Mytilus edulis: one gene and its partner. The protein of the gene in region 1 purifies or fractionates together with the protein of each later gene. This does not show direct contact. Links are inferred from orthologs where the notes say so. Each region holds a gene or a part of one and is shown on either strand. Other genes may lie near its edges.

What was found. Proteins that work in one complex are often made in the same cells at the same time.
Region 2: the proteins of syntaxin-17-like (region 1) and vesicle-associated membrane protein 7-like purify together in Drosophila melanogaster (affinity purification with western blotting; 4 studies listed by BioGRID, with this or other methods). This does not show direct contact. The link is inferred for Mytilus edulis from reciprocal best matches to the Drosophila melanogaster genes Syx17 and Vamp7.

The regions. Positions count from the first base shown.
Region 1 is NC_092357.1:27,499,735-27,507,170, reverse strand, and holds the start of syntaxin-17-like, read right to left. Parts: upstream 3,457-7,436; 5' UTR 2,160-3,456; intron 1,881-2,159; 5' UTR 1,878-1,880; coding exon 1,686-1,877; intron 1-1,685.
Region 2 is NC_092351.1:17,221,797-17,229,497, forward strand, and holds the start of vesicle-associated membrane protein 7-like, read right to left. Parts: upstream 3,396-7,701; 5' UTR 3,336-3,395; exon of another isoform or gene 3,166-3,335; intron 1,615-3,165; exon of another isoform or gene 1,531-1,614; intron 1-1,530.

The DNA.
Region 1 (7,436 bases):
AGCATGTATAGCAATAATTTTTTTTTTCAGGGGCAACACATAAGTACCTTGTATGTACTTATAAGTCATGTTTATATACTTGAAGATGTAACTAACTCCCCTTAAAAAAGGCACGTTTTTATACTTTATTACCAGATTTGAGAACTTCTAATTTGTCCCTAATTCAATATATGTGTCAGTGTTCCAGCTAGGATTTGAAAATAGAGGGGCGCGTTTTTAAAAAGGGCACTTTAGCGCGTTCTCACTGAAAAAAAAATCAAATACTTAATATTACCACATAAAGACATATTTCTTGATGCATGGTGGGTCTAAGATGAATTTGCAACGCGATGCGCTGCGTTGTTTTGTAGAATTATTTTTATTACACTTGTGAAATGAATTGTGCATGTCAGTTTAAAAACTTCACATAAATCTGCAATACAGTCAGGAACAATACTTAACATTTTCTCTGAAGGCCAGTCTGGATTCAAAAGTTTTTACAAGGGCCCTGTAGAATTTTTTTAGGCCTTTACCAGGTTTGTTTTTACTGCAGGCACATACATACTAATAGTCTTTAATGTTCTTATATAAAAGCCAAAAATATATGTTTGAAATACCTTATACATGTAGCTTGTTTCTTATTATGATGGAAATAATAAAGGAATTAAATAAACATGAGTTTTTCAGAATTAAAATCCATTTAACCATGTATTTTCAGACTGGTGAACTTTATATATATATATTTGTAATATTATTGAAAAAAAAACAAAAAAAAAACAGCCCCCCTTTCCATACCCCTAGATGTAAATTATTTTAATAAAAAAAGTATTATCAGTTTCACCCCAAGAAATTATTATAATTTTTCATGAATAAATCTTAGAAGAAATTCCTACTGTCTATAAATAACAATGAAATGTAACTGTTTCCTGTTAATAAGGGGTTTCCCGAATTTTCCCGCCAAAAAGCACATGGCTTTGAACAATTGTAAACAAAGCATTCAATTTGTGATCATGGATTAGTTTTAATTAATTTAATTTGGATATAGATATTCAACTAAAGGTACAGTCAAGCAATGTTTTTACTTTCTTCTGGATTAAAACTAGTTTGAAAGATCAGTTTCAAAAATAAAAACATCAAAACAAAAACGATCTGAATTGTGAATATTCAGTGACCCATAAATTTTTTGAACTCTGCTACGGAGGTCAAAGTTACATCATGTTTCATGCATTTTGCGTGTTGACCTATTGGAATGATTCTTTTTAAATGACATAATAAATAACAAATACAATAGAAATGAACACCGTTCACATTTATTTTATAAATTATATTTTGCATCGTTAGGTGTTAAAATAATCAATTTATTTAACTTCGATGTTTGGTGCTTCAGGGTAAAGGGATTAGACAGGGTCGTAAATTTCACCTGATTAAGTAATTGACTCTAATCAAATAGGTGATTATAATCAGTTTAACAAGTGTCAACAATTTTAATCTGTTGTCTTAATGAAGTGTGTGTATAAAGAACTCAACAAAATGGCGACGATATGAGGAAAAAAGATCGTTTTTTAAACTTTTTTTCAAAAGGGCACAGAGGGGCGCAGGGGCGCTTAAAAAAGGCAGAGGGGCGCAAAATTTCGGGGGCGGTGCGCGGCGCCCCTCCATTTCATGCTAGCTGGAACACTGTGTGTCATACACAGTCATAAAATTACCTTTTCAATATTAAGCCTGTGTTTATGTAACCTGTCCAAGTCCATTTCAATCACTTTAAGAAACTTCTGTATGGACGGTTCCAACCTTTGAATAGGAAACTTTGGGATCTCTGTATCTCTGCTTGTCCAGCTTGTGTTTTTCTCAAAACTTCCCATGTTGGTTATATTCATAAAACTGAAATAACATAACATGTTCTATGTAACATTTATATATATATATATATATATATATACAATGTTGGGTTGATGTTTAGACGAGTTATATATATACATATATATACATATAGTGTCTAAAAATAGCAACAATCAAGCTACAAAGATATTTTTTGTCATGCATACGATTTTTAACCTAGATAGATGCTCATGCCCGATGAAGCTAATTTGTTTAGCGAAATATTGCGTGAATAATATATAAAATATAACAAACTAATTTTATAACACTCATTAGTGTGTTAAAGTTACATTCTTAGACACTTATATATAATATAACACATGTTTTCAAAATAACATATATTGAGTAATTTTGTATTTTGTATTTCTCTTCAAAAGCAGAAAACATGACAATAATCATGATAATAAACTATTGTGGATTCAGTTATGTTCAGAATACTAATTTTATTTATTTAAAAAAAAATTTAGCAGGTTCATGGATACTTAGATTAATGATTTTGCACAAGTCTGCAATAAATGTGTACTTTGTTGAACATATATGTTTGTTGTAAACCTTGGCCACATTTATTGTATCAAAATGTCACATGCAGTCTGTGCCAAACTGTTTTAGGGATTGTCTGACCAAAAGAGAAATTTGAACTTTTCTACTTTATATTCAACTAAAAAATCTTAAAATTTCTGTCTGACCGAATGATTTTTTGTCTGACATTTTGTCGGTTAGACAGAGTTTTGGTTACACTGCACATGTGCATGCTTGTGAAGTATAAATTATTATGATTATATGGGTGCAAGACAAGCCAGTCAGGAGACAACTAAGACCATCTCCAACTAAGACAACTTGGACCATCTTCAACTAAGACAACTTAGACCGTCTCCAACTAAGACAACTTGGACCGTCTCCAACTAAGACAACTTGGACCGTCTCCAACTAAGACAACTAAGACCATCTCCAACTAAGACAACTTGGACCGTCTCCAACTAAGACAACTAAGACCATCTCCAACTAAGACAACTTGGACTTATATAGACAAGTCAGACCATCAATAAGTCTACTGGGGTTGTCTTTAATGACAAGTCAGACTCAGTATAAAACTACAGTTTTGCAAAATAAAAGATTTACTGAAAAAGTCTGTGCCTAGTGAGAAGTCTTTAACAAAGTTTTTAGTACTCCAATTTCAAAACAAAACTAAGACAACAATATATATAAAATTTAGCACTAAGTAAAACCTATATACGTGTACAAATGATGTACACTAAATCATGGTGTCATTCACATAAGATACATACATGTATGATTTGAGCACTAAGATTTATTTAAAATATAGATTCCTAATGTGAACATTGGTGAATGAAGAATTAGAAATAAGAATCTACACCAAAAGCATGAAAATGGTACAATGTACTTTGATGTAAAACATAACAAGTTTCAGGGTTCTCGCTAAGGATTTTTGAAGGCGAGTCTGTTTTTAGCCATTGATGAGTCCAACAGCAAAAAGAAAATGTTTTATTGCAATATAATGTAATATTTTAGTCTCTATTTCCTAACAGAGCAATGAAATGCCTGATTTTATTATAGCACAAACTCTTATGGTTATAGATACTTCATTGTAGAACTATTAGCTGTCATTTTTCAAGGTCAAAGATGACTTTAAAATAATTTATGAAGAATTCAAATATTAAAGTTAAGCAAACTCAACCGACTATTTTTTGCTTCAATTATAATATGTATGACAGTCAGGGATACAAGTTTTATTATACTGTATAAATACATGTAATAAATTAATAAAGATTAGTGAAATATTGTATTCACACATTACAATATTTGTTTTCCTGTTTTGCAAATACATGTACAGCAATGAGATTGCCATGTAAAATATCACATTTGATAATTTATAGTCGTTTATATGTATACAATACTATAATAGTGTAAATCCTCTTTTAACACAGGTCAAGTACTTTGTCTGAGCTGTCCTTATAGACGTTTCTGAGTTGACTGATTGACTGTTCAAGTTGTTTTCATAAACAGAGGATCTGATTGAACTCAGTCCAACTTGTTCTGGGGCCGAGTTGTCCCGCATTCATGATACATTTGTTTGTAATGATGTGTGTAAATGTCATGTCTTATTTTAATGTTGAGCATTTTCAGTGTAAAAAACTCAGTAGAGCTTGTGTCTTCTGTGAAATAGATATTTGTATAAAATGTATATGACTATGTTTGCAATAAATTGTATTTTGACATAATAATGAAACAGGATACAAAAAAAATTTGTATCCTGTTTCATTTTCATTATCATTTTGTTCTTTTTTACCATTTGAATCTTTTTTATATACAACCCTATTTCCCTTTTTCAAATTCAAATTTCTACTCATACAACTAAACCTTTTTCGAATCAATGACACCTCAATAGAGTAGAGTAATACTAGAGAAATAGAGTTGTTTTGGTAAAAACCTACTTTTCTTTTATAAAAAATGTAAACAGGAAGTGTCTTAATGATTATAATTTACAAAACAAAATCGAAAAAGATACGCCATGAATCCGGACAAAAATTGATGAAAATAATTTTGATTTTTATCGCAAACAAAACTTGAAGTATATATTCTGAACAATAAAGTCTACTCTATGATATAGAGCAGATATTAGCTTAACTGTCCAATTCCAATATCAAAATTAAATCTTTGAAGATTCAAGATGTCTTATAAATTATATAGCCTTATAAACAAAAATCAGCAATTATCATAAAAGCGGCCTTGCAACATCAAATATATGTAATTCTTTTGAAGAATGCAAATTTAAATCGTTATAAAAGTATACCTTCCGTTTAGTATTAGAATCGAATAAAACTACTGGGAAAGAAATATCCTCTTAGAATTAGAATCGAACAACATCTACTAAGAAAGAAATATCCGTGAAGTCAAATGATTAGAATCGAAAAACAACTACTAAGAAAGAAATCATACTATCCGTGAAGTATCAGATCAGAGACATATATAAATAGTATTATTTGTCTGGTATTAGATTCGAACAACAACTACTTGGGAAAGAAATCGCCAATTTAACAGAAGAAAAAAATGTATACTGAAAAGGCATACATTTTACGAATTTTTTTTAAAGATTATGCCAGTAACCGTACGTGTTGTATCTTATAGTTGTTAGATTGCATAAGCTTCCTTTATATACGTTTAAACATCGAACAACAATCATCTATTTCAGATGCAATTTGTGAAGGTGAACACGAACTACACTCTACATTTGTACATGAAAATGAAATAAAAATTAACTAATATAACTCTTTATGCATATCTGACATATTTGTACATGTAAATCGTATATTATGTTGTTCTTGTATTCTTTATTACAATCAGGTCGTTATAATTTTTTCGTTTACATTTTTATACAAGTGATATTTTGTAGTTATTTCATGGCCTTTTATAGCTTATTATACGGCATGGATTTTGCTCCGATTGTTGGAAGCTGACGATGACACATAGTTGCTAGCTTCAATCATGATCACATCTTTTTATTCATCAATTTTTCCTCTTCAAACTGTTGAATAATCTCATCTGGATCGCAACCTTTGACTCGCGAAGATGCAAATGGTATAACCCATATTACCTTGACCTCGAACTCGAACTTCTTTTGAATTATATTTTACTGTACGTATTACTGTGTTTGTTTATCCTACTGTGTATCAGATATTTCTGGCATCTGGTCGAAATAAGCTAAGAGATTCCAAACGACAATAGAATTTTAGTTGAATTTTTAAAAGTGCAATGGTAATTCTAAGGTCAACAGTTGAGCATAGGTAGCCGGATATAGCCGGATAAAGACATACATTTTTGTGTTATAATTGGAAGATATACGACAGTTTTATGGGGTATGCATTTCCGATTGCCTTGACTGCTATGCATAGAGCCGATGGCCGCGGAACATGTTGTAGTTTAATGTTATCGTGACATGATAATGCCGTTAAAACACCCTAAAACTCAAAACAAATTGATGTTAGGAATATTTTTTTCATATAGCACTAGCTGTCAAATTCATGTTCACCGATTTGAATCTAATTCTCATATTAGATTTATTTAAGAATTGAATGCTCTTTTTTTGTAAATGTATTGGGGTGTAAAACCGTTGACCGAAGTACATTTTGTATGAAGCGCGGAATTTAAGCGCTTCATACTAAAAATGTGCACACGGTCAACGCTTTTACAACCTTATTTATAAAGTTACCAAAAAAAAAGCATTCAATACTTATAATTACATTTTTACCTATAGGATCATGAAAACACGCCTTTTATCAAGTTTTTAATTCATTTACCTGTACACTTTATTGTGGGACCTCGTGTCATCATGAATGAAAAGTTGCATTGTGTAATGCAATTGATTAAGGAATATCACGAGATTGCTAGTTAGCCAATCAGAATAACGTATTATAATGAAACATACATCTAATGTAATTATAACAATGTACAACATTTATTCAAATTATAAACAATTTACAGGGCATGGGATCGATAATATGAATCTTCGTTTCGTGTGTATTTCAATTTAGTCTAGACGTCATCTAATTAACTATTGAGATATGACACCGAAAACAACCAATGGTCACATAACGACACAAACATAAACATAAATATAAATTGATATGTGGAACTCGTACACATGGATTTTGCTATGTCTGTTTGATTTCAATTTTAAGGGTACAAAAATAAGTTAATTTTCGATTTTACCTGAGTAAGAATGATTTTTTTTTTTGTGAATCGAATCAGTCAATTAAATGATTTACCGTTGTTTCACTATCATTGTCGACATGCTTTTCTTTTAATAACCTAACACGCATCAATCATACATAATCCATCTCTAGCTAAGGGGTAATTAAATTGAATTCACATGAATACGGATTCAATGAGGTTGAATTATTCACTGCATTACTCACCATCGATGTTTCTTCGCTTATTTTGAAAAAAATTGAACCCTACTTGCTGCTTACATAGTTAATTATTATTTCACTTTCATTAATGATTGAACAAAAAAAAAAATCAGATGTTTTTTTATGTATTTCGTAGCTAGTGCTCCTTTAATAGATATAGGAAGATGTGGTATGAGTGTCAACGAAACAACACTCCATGCAACTCACAATTCTATAAAACTATGGTTTTGTAAAAACACAGAGACAGTGAATGTTCACTCTGACATGTATAATCAGTTTAATGCCTACCAGCCGTAATAAATGTAAATGCTCTTTTGTTCCGACGTTGAAAAGTCCCGGGCGGAAAGAACTAACTAGCCGAAAAGTTCCGGAGGAATTTATTAACTAGTTACAATGTACTTTGTTCTTTCTCTGGTTTAAAAGTTCCACCGGAACAAAGTGAATAGTTGAAAGATCTTGAAAAGTTCCAACGGAACATATCAACTAGCTAGAAAGTTCCTTTTTGCCAAATTAGTCAAAACCGGAACTAACAAACTAGCCCAAAAGTTCCAACGGAACTTATCAACCAGTCACAAAGTTTCATTTGAAGAATTGATGGAAAGACCCACATGAGGAGGGGGTATTCTTCCCTCTCTTAAGCTTGAGGATACT
Region 2 (7,701 bases), on another chromosome or scaffold:
CTGAGGAAGTTTCCCTGGACCAAATTATATACATGGAAATGAGATGTATCAATCAATGATTGACATCATTTAGGGTACCACTTTATCTGACTTAATCATAAACAAATTACAGAAGCTATAGGAAACAGCATACATGTCTTAATTTAAAATTTCAAATTGAACTTGAGTAAAAGGATGCCTATAAAAAGAATTTCATTTAGGTTTTCGTCATTGTGTCAAGTATAACAAATATAAAATTGAAGAAAGATGCAAAATTAAAGTACAAATGTATGCTACAGAGAGTCAGAGATATAACTCTATAGGGTTATTACAGAAAATAAAATTCATGTGTTATTACAGATACTTTCATGTGTTGTGTACTCTTTATTCCTTAAATTTTCTAATTCTGTACATGTACAATGTAATAACGCATGTTTGTTACATTTTTTCTATTTGTTAAATATTTTAATTTATAATGGACTCTAGGGAACTCTTGAGACTGCGCAGAAACTAAATGCATAGCCTTGATAACTAATTTTTTAATTAAATATATACATTTTTGATTAACCATGTATGGTAAATCAATGAGACAAGGCTTTTAAGGGATAAACTAAGCTAGGATAACAAGGCTTAATTATTAAAGGAATGTACATTTTTTTGTTTGTACATGTAACATTTCATATGAGACCTTTGGGAATTACTGGGAAGATTGCTCAGAATCTCATTAAATGCTCTGATAATTATTTCTTACAATAAGTTAAAATAAATTGTAATTAAGCATGATGTATGTCTGAGCAAATGCTTTGAAGTGATATAGAGAAGCTGTGATAGCACCCGTTAGTTTTTACAGGCATATTTTTTCTGTAACATGTGTAATAACATCATGAACATACAATGTAGGTGTATTATGCAAATTTGGAAAACTATGAAGTGTTATATCTTTCTATAGTTAAGTATACATAAAGACGATAGTAATATCAATAGAACTTGTATACATTTTAATTAGAATAATGATGTATATTGTCCCTTTGAAACATGTAACATACATATATGTTATCACAGTTCTTTGATTTTTTAGTCCACAATAACAAATTTATGTTATTTTTCTGTAACAACTCTATAGAGTTATATCCTTAGTGTTGTACATGTACAACATGTATATAATGGTTTTTAAGCACTCATAGTTTGTGTACATCTACATGTACATGTAGTTGTATTAGATCTACACAATGTACTCAAGGTAAGGATCACAATAATCATATTGTACACAGTGGCGCATCCAGAGGGGGATTCCGGGGGTTGAAACCCCACCTTTTTTCTTGATGATCAATGCATTTAAACAGGGTCATATAGTTGGACCCCCCCCCTTTTTTTTATCCTGGGTTGGTTTAGAAAAAGGGCTGGATGCTGCCTGGTTCATTCTATCAGCATGATTAGTTTCCAAAAATAATGATACGACTTTTTAATAAAACATGTAAAAGTTGACAGTGATAACATAATTATAATATCAGAATATTTTATTCTTTTTCTAAAAATCACAGATGCACGTACCATGTTGAGTCTTTGTCGAATAAGGGTTGTCGTTGCTTCTTTCTGCTTGTTGCTCATAAGTTAAGATAGACGATACATGTATTTCTACAAAGACATAATACTGTCATGACTGTAAATTTAGAAATTATTGCGAGGTTTTTATCATTGCGAAAAACAGTCAGGGGACTTACTTAAATAAGTGATTTTCTAAATCACTGATTTAAGTTACATTATTTCCATAAAGGTTGGAAGTTAGAGTTGTCTTTCTTTAATAATCACCTATTTAAGTAGTACAAATTAATTACTAGAAGAAGTGATTTAATTTTATTGTAGCTTTAAATATAGAATACTAATGATCCAGGGACTAATTATGTTTCTAAACTTATCATAACCAACATCTGTGTTGTCTAAGGATGACCAGGTCATTTCAGGTGATGACCTTGTACTGAATCTAGGATAATGACATAAAAATCACTTGTTTAAGTATGACCTCAATTTCCTTCCCAAAAACATTTGAAAAATCACTTCTTAAAGTATCATTCTTTTAATAATCCCTACTAATTTCAACACCCCTGAACAGTGAGATTTTTATCACGAACAGTAGAATTTTATTACATAATCTGAAAGATGAAACATTGAACTTCACAGGAAAAATACTCCCACTGCTGGGAAAAATCTTTTAAGAAAGTATCAGTTTATTATGTAAAGCCATTATTATAGCATTTTTTCAACTAAAATAGAATTTTCAGCTAAATGATAGCATCAAAGGTAGAAACCTTTCTACTTAAAAGAAGCTAAAAGTTTATTTTTTTTAAATTTTACTAATTAAAAATTATTATTTAACCCTATGTGTTTAAAATTTGGAAAAAAATACAAAATTCCAATTTGTGACAAAACCACGATTTTGCTACTCAAATAAGTGATTTAAAAATCACCTATTTCAGTAAGTCCCCTGACTGAAAAAAGCCACAGAGTTATTAACGCAATAATTTAAAATATATAGAAATATTTTGTCCTAATTAAACAGAAGTTTTCTCAAAAGCGTAAAAAATAAAATCACATTTTAGTCTAAATGGAAAAAATCACAATAATAAATGCACACAATAATTTCTAAATTAACAGTAATGTATTTGATTGTCTTGAAGTTTGTTTTGGTTTTGAAATCAAACAAGCTGACCGAAGCCATAAACAACATGCTATAAAAAAATTCATCAAATTCTAATTCAACCATGATATATTGAAAATGAGTTAAACTGTATGTAATAACCAAGAAAATAGGATACAACATACAAAATGTATACACCTTATCGCTTATCCTGGCTGACTCGAGAATCTGTGCCGCTTGAACTATTGACGTCATACATACAACAATCACTTTTCCACTGTGGCGTCAGATATTATGTATTATGACTTCAAAATTTTACGAGAACCTGTGTGATGTCCACTAATGGCAGACAAATAGCGATAAGGTGTATTTTCTAAGAGGGGAAAATGTTGCAATTTAGTATATGAATATTGTGATATTTGCGGCCATGTCAGCCATTATGATGAAATACAAAATGTGTTATCTTACTTATTTTGGTTGATTGTTACACGATATCGGGTATAATGCCAATAAATGAGGATAGTACCCTTTAGGTGAGGATCTTCACCAACCTGTCAAAATGTGTCATGTGATTATTACTCATTCCCTCATTAGTTTCTTTCATTTACAAAAAACTTAGTTCTTAAAGAAGAACACTATCATATTTTTGCAATATCTATAAAATTTCAATATATTGTGTTACCCTATGTGCGTTTGAGGCAAATTTTGACAGAAATCTGACTGAAAATCTTTTTGTTTTGGTTAACCCACTTCCGGTTTATTCAAATTTTTAATTTACGAGGCCAAGTTCCGTTCATATTCCGGATTTTGAACCTCAGCATTAATTTCATAATATTTGCCTTTATTTTTCTATTTTTACATATTCTGACAGAAGTCATGTCTGGCAATCGTTTGATTAGAGTAAATCATAGATAACCACACACAATCAACCCAAAATATAATCAAACTTCTACCGAGCAAGCGGCAAGGATTTCACAGTAAACTGTAATTAAAGTACCACAGGCCGCAGAGCTCCGACATAACTTACGACTTTAGATTGTTATTCAAAATTTTTATGCATATCTCAGACTTTAATTCCAGTTCACTACCGTCAGACAAAGATTATATGAATCCGAATTTTCTCCACTGCATGGAGAAAACTGAGTATAAACCGGCTAACTACAGTGGCGGATCCAGAAATTTTCATAAGTGGGGGCCCACTGACTGACCTAAGAGGGGGCCCCGCTCCAGTCACGCTTCAGTGATTCCCTATATAAGCAACCAAATTTTTTCCCAAAAAGGGGGGCCCGGGCCCCCTGCCCCCCCTAAATCCGCCTCTGAACTAACTCATTTCATTCAGTGTAAAATTTAATTCAAAAAGATCATCGCTGAATTACATGACAGCACAGAAAAAAACCTAGTCCGAGATTACTCTGACGTCCAACGGCTATTTTGACAGACAAGCTGGGGCCGCAGCTTGTCTGGCAAAACAGCCGTTGGACGTCAGAGTAATCTCGGACTAAAACAAAAACCCACAAAACAACACATAAAGAGACAGCAATTGTGACACTTATAACACACAATAGACCGTTATCAATATATATTATGCACTAATTCCAACTGATGAATTTCTAATAAAAATAAATTTGTCTACATATAAAAGAAATCTGTTGACATGGTTGAGTACATTAGTCTTAACAATGTCATCATTAAACCTTTCCCTCTTCTCTTGATAAAGGTTACATTCACATATAAAATGAAACTCGTCTTCAAATTTGTTATTAAGACAATGTTTACATATCCTTTGATCCAAAGGCGTATTATTATATATATCTGCCTTTTTCGATCTGTAAATTGTTTGAATTCTTTATTTACATAACTGTCTAATATATATTTTTGAGATATTCAACTTTGTATAAGTCTTAGGCTTATATTCCTTTTTTAACTTGTTAGTAATAGGTGCGTAATTTGTTTTGGTTTTCACCTGAAAAACATTAAAATTTTGTTTTCGATATCTTCCTTGTAATCTCTATTTCACTGCAGATATGAGTTTTCCTTCTGACAGAGTTCTTTTATTGTTCCAGACATGGTCAAAACCAATGAATTTTAGAAACTGAAAAAATGTGTTTATTGAAGGTACATGGAAAGGTACAATCAACATCTTTGATTGACTTATATGCTAATTTAGAAAAATTCAAAAGAGGGTCTTTATACAAATATAGCCAATATTTAAGAGACAGCAGAATAACAAATACAGAGATTGGATAACGACCAAGTTCTGCCATACTGGCAATATTAGAAGCATATTTAGTGGCACCAAGTACAAATTTACAATATCGAATGTGATCCTTAAAGTTTTCAGGTGCAAAATTAAAAAAAAAGTTTTTTTCTAAATCATCATTTGAACCTGGTGATAATCTTTTTCCCGGATTAAGAATGTACAGACCCCACAATTCACTTCCATAAAAAGGACTGGTTTAAAAAGGAGTCAAAAAGTTTTAAGAGGAAAGGTGTATTATTATATGTACAATGACCTTTTATCATGAAAATTACCAGAAAAAGTAAAATCACAAAAATACTGAACTCAGAGGAAATCCAATCGGAAAGTCCATAATCACATGGCAAAATCAAATGACAAAACACATCAAAAACGAATGGACAAGAACTGTCATATTCCTGACTTGGTACAGGCAATTACAAATGTAGAAAATGGTGGATTAAAACTGGTTTTAAAGCTCTATAAACCTCTCACTTTGTTGACAGTCACATCAAATTCCGTTATATTTACAATAATGCGTGAACTAAACAGACATATATATATATAATAAATAAAATGGTCAAAATATGGGTACAGCAGTCATCATCGTGTAACAATATTAAAAGGAACAATTTATAAACAGAACACAAAAAACATCATTCTATCTACAAACAAACTCATTGATTCGCGTGTCTGACGTCAGAATTTGTTTTTCATCAAATTGGGAATCAGAATATTTTTTTAGGAAAAACAAGAATGTGTCCCAAGTACACGGATGCCCCACTCGCACTATCATTTTCTATGTTCAGTGGACCGTGAAATTGGGGTCAAAACTTTAATTTGGAATTAAAATTAGAAAGATCATATCATAGGGAACATGTGTACTAAGTTTCAAGTTGATTAGACTTCAACTTCTTCATAAACTACCTTGAACAAAAACTTTAACCTGAAGCGAACGGACGCACATACGGACGAACGGACGCACATACGGACGAACGGAGGCACAGACCAGAAAACATAATGCCCCTCTACTATCGGAGGTGGGGCATAAAAAGATACCCCTTTGAAGTTAAATGGTCATTCCCTTATAGCCCGCTGTTCGGTGTGATCCAATCATTCGTGTTGAAGACCGTACTTTGACCTATAATTATTTGTGACTTGGATGCAGAGTTGTCTCATTGGTACTCATACCATATCTTCTCTGTTATATATTAAATCCTTGTATTACCAGAGCTCCTAAATTAATTTAGTTTTACAAAACACCATTTCATGAAGTAATTGACTTGAAACATGATATATCTTAATAAAGACATACATTTATACATGTAGCAAATGAATGTAACAAGCAATAATTTTAGATGGCCATACACTGTTTTCTTAAATAAATGTAATACTTTTGAGTGAATTTGATTTTTGATTGTTATTATTGCATAATCTTCAAATACATGTACACAGCCTATCTGGAGCTCTGAAATTAATTTACAAGATATTTGAAAATGAATCCATGATCATGTCGACGTAGATATGTATATATGTGCCACACATAACAAAACAAAGTAGTTAATTAGCATGTGTATATTAACAGCTCACGCCAACGTGAATAATTTAAATTTCGTACCTTTACTCATATTTGGGCTTCCATTATAGCCCTTTAAACATTGCTTCGCATCTTGTATACTTCATGCTAATTGATGTCTATCAATTTCAACAGTTTTTAATTTGTTTCATTTAAAATCACTATTTCTTAGCAAAAATGTGGTATCTTTTATATCAAATCTTTTATTGTTTTTGAAACAATAATTAAAAAACCTATAAAAAACATAACTTTATTTTTTTCCCACTTGTGTAAAGAAATTTCTTATCAAAACTGATTTAATGTATTATATAAGTATTGAAATTGCTTATCAAACTGAAGTCACTCAAATTCTTAATGGTTACCAACTTCGTTTTTGGTCTATTTCAATTTTTGAGATAGAATACACATTATCGCTATTTAGTCCAATCCTGGAAAAACAGTCATTTACACAACTTCCTGTTTGGGTCATGCCGCCGAAAATAGGGGTCATTAGAAGAGAGCTGAGGGAGGAAAACTTTAGAAAGCGATCATCAAGAAATTAATAGAGTATGATCCACTTTTTTCGAAATTAAAATTAAAGTAAACAAGAATGTGTCCCCAGTACACGAATGCCCCGCTCGCACTATCATTTTCTATGTTCAGTGGACCGTGAAATTGGGGTAAACCCTCTAATTTGGCATTAAAATTAAAAAGATCATATCATAGGGAACATGTTTACTAAGTTTGAAGTCGATTGAATCGGATTGGACTTCGACTTCATCAAAAACTACCTTGACCAAAAACTTTAACCTGAAGCGGGAAAGACGGACGAACGAACGGACGGACGGACGGACGAACGAACAAACGGACGAACGAACGGACGCACAGACCAGAAAACATAATGCCCCTCTACTATCGTAGGTGGGGCATAAAAAATATTTTGTTTGAAGTATTTACGGTAGTTTTAACAGGTCTCATTAAAAAGTATCATGCTTGGTGAATTGCCGGTTTAAACAGGATCCTGAGAGGCCGAGTTCACTTGAAACTCTCGAGTTAACTTTACTTACTCGGGTTTCAACAAAACGATTTAAGTTGAACCACTCGAGTTAACACCTCGTACCCTGGTTCCAACCCTAACCGAGTCAGGGTTAAACTCGAGAAACTCTTGAATGACGTCAAACCAATGAGAATATTTTATTTTGTTATGCTTGGTCGGGGCCTTACCCTAGAGTGACTTAGAGTTGTTCCGAATATCAACTCTAATGCGTTCACGTGATAATCTTTTAACTCTGAATT